2 linked regions of the Ovis aries genome follow. The protein of the gene in region 2 binds, or shares a complex with, the protein of the main gene of each other region. Links are inferred from orthologs where the notes say so. Each region holds a gene or a part of one and is shown on either strand. Other genes may lie near its edges.

The links.
Region 1: the proteins of CMKLR1 (region 2) and RARRES2 are in contact, whole or in part, in a cryo-EM structure (PDB 8ZJG), measured with the Homo sapiens proteins. The link is inferred for Ovis aries from reciprocal best matches to the Homo sapiens genes CMKLR1 and RARRES2. Residues at the interface, in NP_001135815.1 of Homo sapiens: Asp20, Tyr21, Leu22, Asp23, Ser24, Ile25, Val26, Val27, Leu28, Phe88, Leu92, His95, Tyr103, His104, Asn116, Leu119, Ile120, Met123, Arg178, Leu183, His184, Gly185, Lys186, Ser188, Cys189, Phe190, Asn191, Trp203, Thr205, His217; in NP_002880.1 of Homo sapiens: Leu34, Phe37, His38, Phe60, Thr75, Ser76, Cys77, Arg96, Leu111, Gly112, Arg113, Leu114, Val115, His116, Cys117, Pro118, Ile119, Thr133, Leu136, Arg137, Gln139, Arg140, His146, Ser147, Phe148, Tyr149, Phe150, Pro151, Gly152, Gln153.

What each region holds. Positions count from the first base shown.
Region 1 is NC_056057.1:113,909,621-113,913,587, forward strand, and holds the start of RARRES2 (retinoic acid receptor responder protein 2), read right to left. Parts: upstream 2,801-3,967; 5' UTR 2,738-2,800; intron 2,492-2,737; exon of another isoform or gene 2,237-2,491; intron 1,735-2,236; 5' UTR 1,631-1,734; coding exon 1,457-1,630; intron 1,235-1,456; coding exon 1,130-1,234; intron 227-1,129; coding exon 116-226; intron 1-115. UniProt on the Homo sapiens protein: Adipocyte-secreted protein (adipokine) that regulates adipogenesis, metabolism and inflammation through activation of the chemokine-like receptor 1 (CMKLR1). Also acts as a ligand for CMKLR2.
Region 2 is NC_056070.1:64,708,581-64,712,781, forward strand, and holds the start of CMKLR1 (chemerin-like receptor 1), read left to right. Parts: upstream 1-1,401; 5' UTR 1,402-1,661; intron 1,662-1,807; exon of another isoform or gene 1,808-1,942; intron 1,943-2,630; exon of another isoform or gene 2,631-2,714; intron 2,715-4,201. UniProt on the Homo sapiens protein: Receptor for the chemoattractant adipokine chemerin/RARRES2 and for the omega-3 fatty acid derived molecule resolvin E1.

The DNA.
Region 1 (3,967 bases), on a different chromosome or scaffold from region 2:
ATTGCCCCCCTCCCCCCTCCCAGGGAGTGTCTGGGCCGAGCCCAGAACCCCTCCTCGACACCCCCAAACCTCTTTATCCAGGCCACTCCCAAGGCCCAGTCTCTCCCCACCTTACCAGCCCCCTCCTCACCCGTTGAACCTGTGTCTGTATGGGACAGTGCACCATCCGACCTAGGACTTGATCCTTTGAGTCCAGCTTGATGCAGGCCAGGCATTTCCGCTTTCTCTGGGGAGCGGGTGTGGAGGCCAGAGAGGAAAGGGGTGAAGGGAGGCGTGCAGCCCTGTGAGGGCGGAACCTAGGGCCAGCCTGCAGTGGGGCCTGTTCCTTTGGCAGGCCAGCTGGGTCCAGGCGCAGCCTAGCTCTGGCCTGGGAATTTTCAAGTCGGAACTATCCTGCAGTTTTCAAACTGTGTGTGTGTGTGTGTCTGTGTGTATGTGTCTGTCTGTAGGCGGCACTTAGTTTTCAAACTGTGTGTATGTCTGTGTGTCTGGCTGTGTCTGACACAGGCAGGTTCTCCCCACCTGGCTTCCACTGCGCTGCCATCTGTTACATTTATCTGTATGTTCTGTTTTCTTGCAAGATTTGAATTGAACACAGGGATCCCGGTGTATAAGTCCAGAAAAGCACTAGTCTGATCCAGCACTCCTCAGCAGAGGGAGGTGACTGAAGCCTTGACGAGCCAGCGCAGGAACAGGACTGGGGGTTGGCAGAAGTGGTTGTGTTCCGAGCCCAGGGATCACCCCCATGGCAGTGACTTGGCCCCGAAGGTGGCTGACAATAGTCAAGCCCTCTTAGGAGTCAGCCCAGGCCGAGCCATCGTCCCCTTGAAAACTCATGAGAAATGGGAAGTTCACTAGGCCTAAGGTGGGGACCACGGCGTCCTTCCGCCAGTGACCTGCAGCCTGGGTGGACCAGCTCTGGAACCTGTGTGTCCATCTCCCTGCCTGTTGCGGCCCCCTCAGCCCAGCCACAGCCATCACCGCCACGGGTGCAGGCAGGCAGGCCGGTCAGAGCCAGGGAGGCTGCCCCGCCCCAGGGTCTCCAACCTCAGGATTCTCCAACTGTGAAGTCCACTGCCCACTCCTGCGCCCACTCCTGCCCTGAGCACGCACCCTGCCATCAGCTCACCCCATTGGGCTTGACCTTGCAGTCTGCTTTCCTCCAGTCCTTCTTCCGACAGCTCGTCTGCTGGAGCTTGAACTCCAGCCTCACAAACTGCCCGGCCGGGAAGAGCTGCCAACAGACGAGAGAGGCCCGCGGCCCAGCTGAGCAGGTGCCGGTGTGACCTGTCCCTGCTTCCCAGCAGTACACCCTGGGGCAGGGGCAGGCGGCTGGGCCAGCGGAGAGCTGGGCGGCTTGCTGGGGCCCAAGCATCGGGGCACCTGCTCTCGGTGGGGGGCACATTCTGGTCTCCTGATCCCCATCCCGCCCTCCCCTCGCTGGGCTGGCGCTTACCGTGTCCGAGGCATTGTCTACGCTGGTCACCTGGAAGGCCCACTGCACAGGCGGATGCTTGTGGAACTCCTCCAGGGCCACCTGCAGGCCCCGGTGCTGGGCTGCCGTGAGCTCTGCCCTGCCCAAGCCCATGGAGCCCAGCCCCAGGGCCAGTGGGAGCAGCAGCTGCCACATGGCTTCACCTCTGTCTCCCGGACCCTGCAGAGGACTGTGCGTCGGTCTGGAGGAGGAGCCACCGGCTCCTGGGCCCCGTGTTTCGGGGCCGCGTCTGGTGGGCTCTGGGCAGAGGTGGGGGGACGCGGATTGGCCCTGCAGACCCCGTCCCCACCCCACTGTGTTCCCCTGACCCATCCCTCTCCTCCCATCCGGCCCCACTGTTCCCAAGGCCGGCCCAGGTTGGCCCTATCCGAGGTAGGTGCTGGGTCCGCTCCAGTCCTTGGGCCAAAAGCTGGGGAGCAGGGCCTGCTCCAGCTCTCTCTACGGGCCTCCCCCATCTTCACCATCCGGGGCCCAAAACGGGGTTGTGGGGGAGGAATGGAGGCTGAATATTTTGGGGAGGACATAAACATGTGGGAGGGGCCCAGGGCGGGTGGGCTTTAGGAGCCCACTTAACCCTCGCTGTGCTGAAAGAGCCCGTTGCCATGGCCCCACCACCTCCGCACTTCCCCCAGAAAATGGGGGTCCCTCCTCCACCCCGCCTCCTCTGTCTTCTTAGGCAGTCTCCCTCCCTTGCCTTGTTCTTTTCTGGAGCCTTCCTCTCCCAGCCCGCCAACCCCGCACCTCAATCCGCGAGACTGGGATGGGGGGCGCCTGAGGGCCGGACTTCCCCGAGAACTCTGCCCGAGAGCAGCCTCCCGAGGACCAGAAAGCCCCAGGTGTGGAGACCCAGGCCCCGCCGGGCAAAGGTGCCAAGCCGTCGCCTCGAAGACAGGACAGGGCTCGCGGAGCAGCCGACAAACGCCGGCCTCCGGAGCTGCGCCCTTTACCCGCCCCGCGCTCCCTCCCTACTCCTCTCCCGCGCCTCGGGGTCTCCCCCCCCCTCCCCTACTCTCCCTCGGGGTCTCCCCCCTCCCCTCCTCCCCTGCACCTTGGGGTCTCCCCCCTCCCCTCCTCTCCCTCTGGGTCTCCCCCGCTCCCCTCCTCTCCCGCGCCTCGGGGTCTCCCCGCCTCGGGGTCTCCCCGCCTCCCCTCCTCTCCCTCTGGGTCTCCCCCCTCCCCTCCTCTCCCTCTGGGTCTCCCCCCTCCCCTCCTCTCCCGCGCCTCGGGGTCTCCCCTCCTCACCTCCTCTCCCGCGCCTCGGGGTCTCCCCTGCGGTCCCGGCCTCTTCCCGGCACCCGTCAGGCTGCCCCCGCGGCGCGCCCGTCTCCTCCCACCTCCTCCTGGGCCCCCTCCAGCGCCCCGCGGCTCCTCCCCGCCCGCCCGCCCGCCGGGACCGGCCTTGGCCGACGGCCCTCCCGGGATTCCCCTCCTCATCCCCGCCCTGCGCTGTCCGGCCCTGCCCTCCCGTCCCCTCCCGCTGGCCCAGCGGGCCGCCCCAGCCCGGGCGCTGCCCTGCCCCCAGGAACAGGGCGACCCCTTCCCCTCAGGCCCCTCCAGGCAGTCCCCAAGACACTCACTCCAGAAAATTCTTCCCAGAAATCCAGACTTCCTCAAACCCCAGGAGACCTCGACGAGTCATTTGAACCGTCCCCCTGCACCTTGGAAACACACTGAAAAGGAGGGTGTCTCCAACACCAGCAAACACATCAGGCGTGAAGGATCACGTCCTGTCTGTGGTGGCAATGGGCTCCCAGGGTCTCCCGTGTGGGTGAAGGGCGGCATGGTGGGGTTCCGAAGGCTGCTGGGGGGTCAGGGGAAAACAAGGGCTCAGCTCCTGCTGCTGCTGAGCAAATAAGAACAAGCCCTGGGACTTGGTGTGTCAGCCACCAGACACGCTGCTACCTAAGTCCCAGGCCCTCTGCCCCTTGCCTGTTGCCCACGGAGAGAGAGTGACAGCCGCTCAGTCGTGAGCAACTCTTTGCGACCCCATGGACTACACAGTTCATGGAATTCTCCAGGCCTAATACTGGAGCCGTTTCCTTCTCCAGGGGATCTTCCCAACCCAGGGATCGAACCAGGGTCTCCTGCATTGCAGGCGGATTCTTTACCAGCTGAGCCACCAGGGAAGCCCTCAGGAAGATGACCTGGTTTAACCACCAGGACCCCTGAACCTTCTGCTCCCTTCTCTGTGGTGTGGGGGCCAGAGGCCCTCCCGCTAGGGGGTTGTTTGGAGGATTAAACAGGGAGATGTATGGAGAGGGATGGATGACCCTGTGTTTGGTCCCCTTCCCAGGCACCCCTGGCAGGATTCTCCACGTGGAGCCCAGAGCTTCCTTTGCAATGTGCCCTGGGGGTGCCAGAAAGATCCTCGCCTTCAATTAGCCAGTTCTGGGGGCTGAAATCCCACCTTGGACATTTCAGTCCCATCTGCGAGTTGTCAACAATCACTAAGCAGAGATGAGAGCTGGGGTC
Region 2 (4,201 bases):
TCATGGGAAATGGATGGGGAAACAGTGGAAAGAGTGGCTGACTTTATTTTTGGGGGCTCCAAAATCACTGCAGATGGTGATTGCAGCCATGAAATTAAAAGACGTTTACTCCTTGGAAGGAAAGTTATGACCAACCTAGACAGCATATTAAAAAGCAGAGACATCACTTTGCCTACAAAGGTCCATCTAGTCAAGGCTATGGTTTTTCCAATGGTCATGTATGGATGTGAAAGTTGGACTGTGAAGAAAGCTGAGCGCTGAAGAATTGATGCTTTTGAACTGTGGTGTTGGAGAAGACTCTTGAGAGTCCCTTGGACTGCAAGGAGATCCAACCAGTCCATCCTAAAGAAGATCAGTCCTGGGATTTCTTTGGAAGGACTGATGCTAAAGCTGAAACTCCAATACTTTGGCCACCTCATGCGAAGAGTTGACTCACTGGAAAAGACTAATGCTGGGAGGGATTAGGGGCAGGAGGAGAAGGGGACGACCGAGGATGAGATGGCTGGATGGCATCACCAACTCGATGGACATGAGTTTGAACTCCAGGAGTTGGTGTTGGACAAGGAGGCCTGGCATGCTGCGATTCATGGGGTCGCAAAGAGTCAGACACAACTGAGCAACTGAACTGAACTGAACATTTGCTAAAGGACTTCCCCTGGTGACTTAGTGGTAAAGAATCCGCCTGCTGAGGCAGGAGATGCTGGTTTGATCCCTGGGTCAGGAAGATCTGCTGGAGGAGGAAATGGCAACCCACTCCTGTATTCTCGCCTGGAAAATTCCAAGGACAGAGCAGCCTGGCGAGCTACAGTCCATGGGGTTGCAAACAGTTGGACCCAACTTAGCAAGTCAACCACTACAACAACATTTGCTAAAATCCAATATTACAGGACATTTAAATTTTTGTTCATTAGATACTGCAAAAAACCTCATTGCTATTTTAATTTACCCAAAAAAAAAAAAAGAAAAAAAAAGGAAACAGAAGGTCGTGAGGCCACGAATAGGGGCAGGAAGCAGGAAGGGCATCCAGGTGGAAGGAGTCGCATGCACAAAGGCCTGGGGTGGGGGTGACGGGCAGTGGGACGTCAGGCAGCTACGCTCCTGCGTAGTCTGTCTGGAGCTCCGGAGGCTCTTGCTGGGAGCAGACGCGCTTCCCACAGCTGCCCCGGGGCCTGCATGTGCTCCTAGTTTGTGCTCAGACGGTGGGCACCGCTCCCAGCTCCCAGAGGGGTGGGTCGTCCCGGGCAGACCTCGCCACCAGCCGCCGCCCGCCTGCCCGCCACAGGCAGCCTCCCCAGAAGGCCCCCACTCCGTGCAGCTGGCCGCCCCCGCCCTCGGTCAGCCCCGTTTCCTGCCCCTCCCTCTCTCCTCCCTCCAGCTGTTTCTCTGGCAGAGTCCTGTCCCATTCAGCCCCCAGTGAGCAAAGAGGGCAGGACAAACCGGGGGTCTCCCTGGGAGCCTCCGGGGGATGAGGATGTTCCGGGGGTGCTGTGCTCTGGGGTCTCTGGGGGGCCCATGAATGAGGGGGTGAACTGCTTTTTTGGGCAAACGGCCCCAGGCAAAGAACAGTGTGACTTCGAGGAAGAAGTTGGGGATCACGCGTCTCCTGCACAACCTCGAGTGACCTGAAGTCAGAGAAGACCTGGGCAAGACCAGCCACAAAGGTATCAAGCTTGGCTCTGACATTGATTGCCCAGAGGAGTCGGGTTGCAGGGGTGGGGGGTGTGGGAAACAGTAATAGAGAAGCTCTTTGGCTCTTGGTAAAATGTAATTTTTGTCAAAATGGAAATAGCTATATTATGATTTTCAGATTTCCAAAGTGATGCATGCCAATTGGAAAAAGCCAGCGAGGTCACCATAGTTATAAAAGGCAGCGAACTCTATGTTTCTTTTCTGTTAATGCTCCCGGCAAGCCTACAAGGGAGGTACTTTCATCGTGCATGTCTTACAGGTGAAGAAACTGAGATTCAGATTGGGGAAGGCACCAGCTCAACGCTGTGGAGTCGGGTAGTGGGGTGCGGAGCTGAAAGTCTGTATAACCCACCTTTTTAGCTGCTGGAATGTCCTACCTCTCAGCTACAGAGAAGAAAGAGGGGTTCTTAACCCAGAGGTGAACCTTCAGGTGCCTCTCTGTGTCACTCACTGACTCACTGACCAACCTGTGATGTTTGTGGAGTGCCTACAATGTACCACCGCATAGGAGCATCTAAATGTGGACACACACACCCTTTTCTGACAGCTTGTGTGGTACCCTATAGTGAAAGTGTTAGTCTCCCAGTCCTACTCTTTGTGATCCCATGGACCATAGCCCCCCAGTCTCCTCAGTCCAAGGAATTCTCCAGGCGAGAATACTGGAGTGGGTAGCCATTCCATTCTCCAGGGGGTCTTCCCAACCCAGGGACCAAACTTGGGTCTCCTGCATTACAGGCAGATTCTTTACGGTCTGTGCCATCAGGGAAGCCCATGTTTGGTACCCTACCTTGTCCTTAACCAGGGATCATGAACCTTCATCTGTATTATCTACTTTCCTCCAATATGCATTTTAAAGGCTGCATGGAGAAGATGGCTTGGGATTTATTAATCATCCCTCCATGTGGTTGCCTCCTTTTTTTTTTTTTCATTATTATAAACAGAGCTGCAGCGGCCACTCCTAATACATCATCTTTGCCTGCGTGTCCTGTGGACAACTTTCCCAAGGTGAAATTGCTGGCTCCAAGGTTTGTGTGTTTTTAAGGCTTTCGAGGCTTTTAGCCGCATTGCCCTAGAAGGTTGAGCTGGCTTGCACTCTCCTGGCCCAATATTGGGGTGTGATATTCTCACAGCCTCATCTACACTGGTTGTCACCTGTCTCCTAAAATTTCCCTGATGGGAAAGGTGAGAATAGCATCTGGCTGCTTGAGTTTTCATTTGTTCCTTCATGCTGAATATCCTCTACAATCCTGTTATTCACTTTTGTGACTATCCTGTTCAAGTCAATCCCCATTTTTTTTTTTTTCTTGCTGGCATGTTTGTCTTTTTTCTCATTGATGTTTAGGAGTTCTTTATATATGAAGGATGTGAATCCTTTGCCAGTGCTAGCTATTGAAAATTCCAGTCCCCCCTCTGCTTTCAAATGAGCATGTTTTAAGTAGGTGAGCCATTTGGACCAGCACTTGGCAAAATTACAGGCAAATAGCACATCATTATACTCAAGTACCTGCTCCTTGCTGTCAGTCTGATCACTCAGACCTATGTAGTTCAGAGAGGCTAGAGAACAAGTGGACGAGTCTCAGGTCTGTCTTCTCTCTCTGTTCAAGTGCCCGGCTCCCAGCTTCCTTTTTGCCACCCCCGACCTCCTCTTCAAGATCAATCTTCCCTGTGGTTCTTGCTGTTGATTTAGACTGAGTTGAATTAGACTCAGGACTTCTCAAAGGGCCATCCTGGCACCATGAGCATCAGTTTTTTTGAGTTAGAATCCCTGAGGATGGAGTGTGGGAGTCTGCATTTTGAACCAGCACCCCTGACAATCTTGAGAACCACCGAGCTGGAATCCTTGATCATCCCCTTTGCCCAGGTTCTTTGCTGGGTTCTTTGCTGCACGCACACTGAGCTGCTTTTTTTCATTCCTAAGCAAATATCTATGCACTTCTGCGAGTCTGCATCTCCTGTGTCAGCAGGAAAAGCCAGGAGGCAATGGTGGAGAAGAAATGAAACTCAGTCTCACACCACAGAAAGTCAGATCACATTAGCAGTCATCCAGCCTGCGGGCTTCGACATTATTTTAAGCCACAGAACGCCTTCCTCCGATGAAATTACATGGAGAAGTGCACTTTAAAGACAGATAAAAGTGACGTTATTCTAGTGGAGGACTCCAGACGGCAGCTCATTGAACCTCACTGTCACTGCTGAAGGGCCTTTAGGAACCTTCATGGCTCTGGGGGGCAGGTTGAAAACTAGAAAATCTACTCCCGATTGTTAAAACACCATCGTTTTTAACCACTGTTGAATTTGCTACGTGACCTTAGGCAAGGTACGCCCGTTCTCTGGCCCTAAGCTTCTTATTTGAAAAAAAGGAGGTTGAATGTTGTATTAGTCAGGGTCACAGTTGCAGTAACAAATAGACCCAATGCGTACAATGGCTCAAAGCAAACAGACATTTGTTATAAGTCAGGCATTTGTGAGTGGAGCCTGGTCCTCTTCCACAGTGAGTCAGTGAGCCACCGCA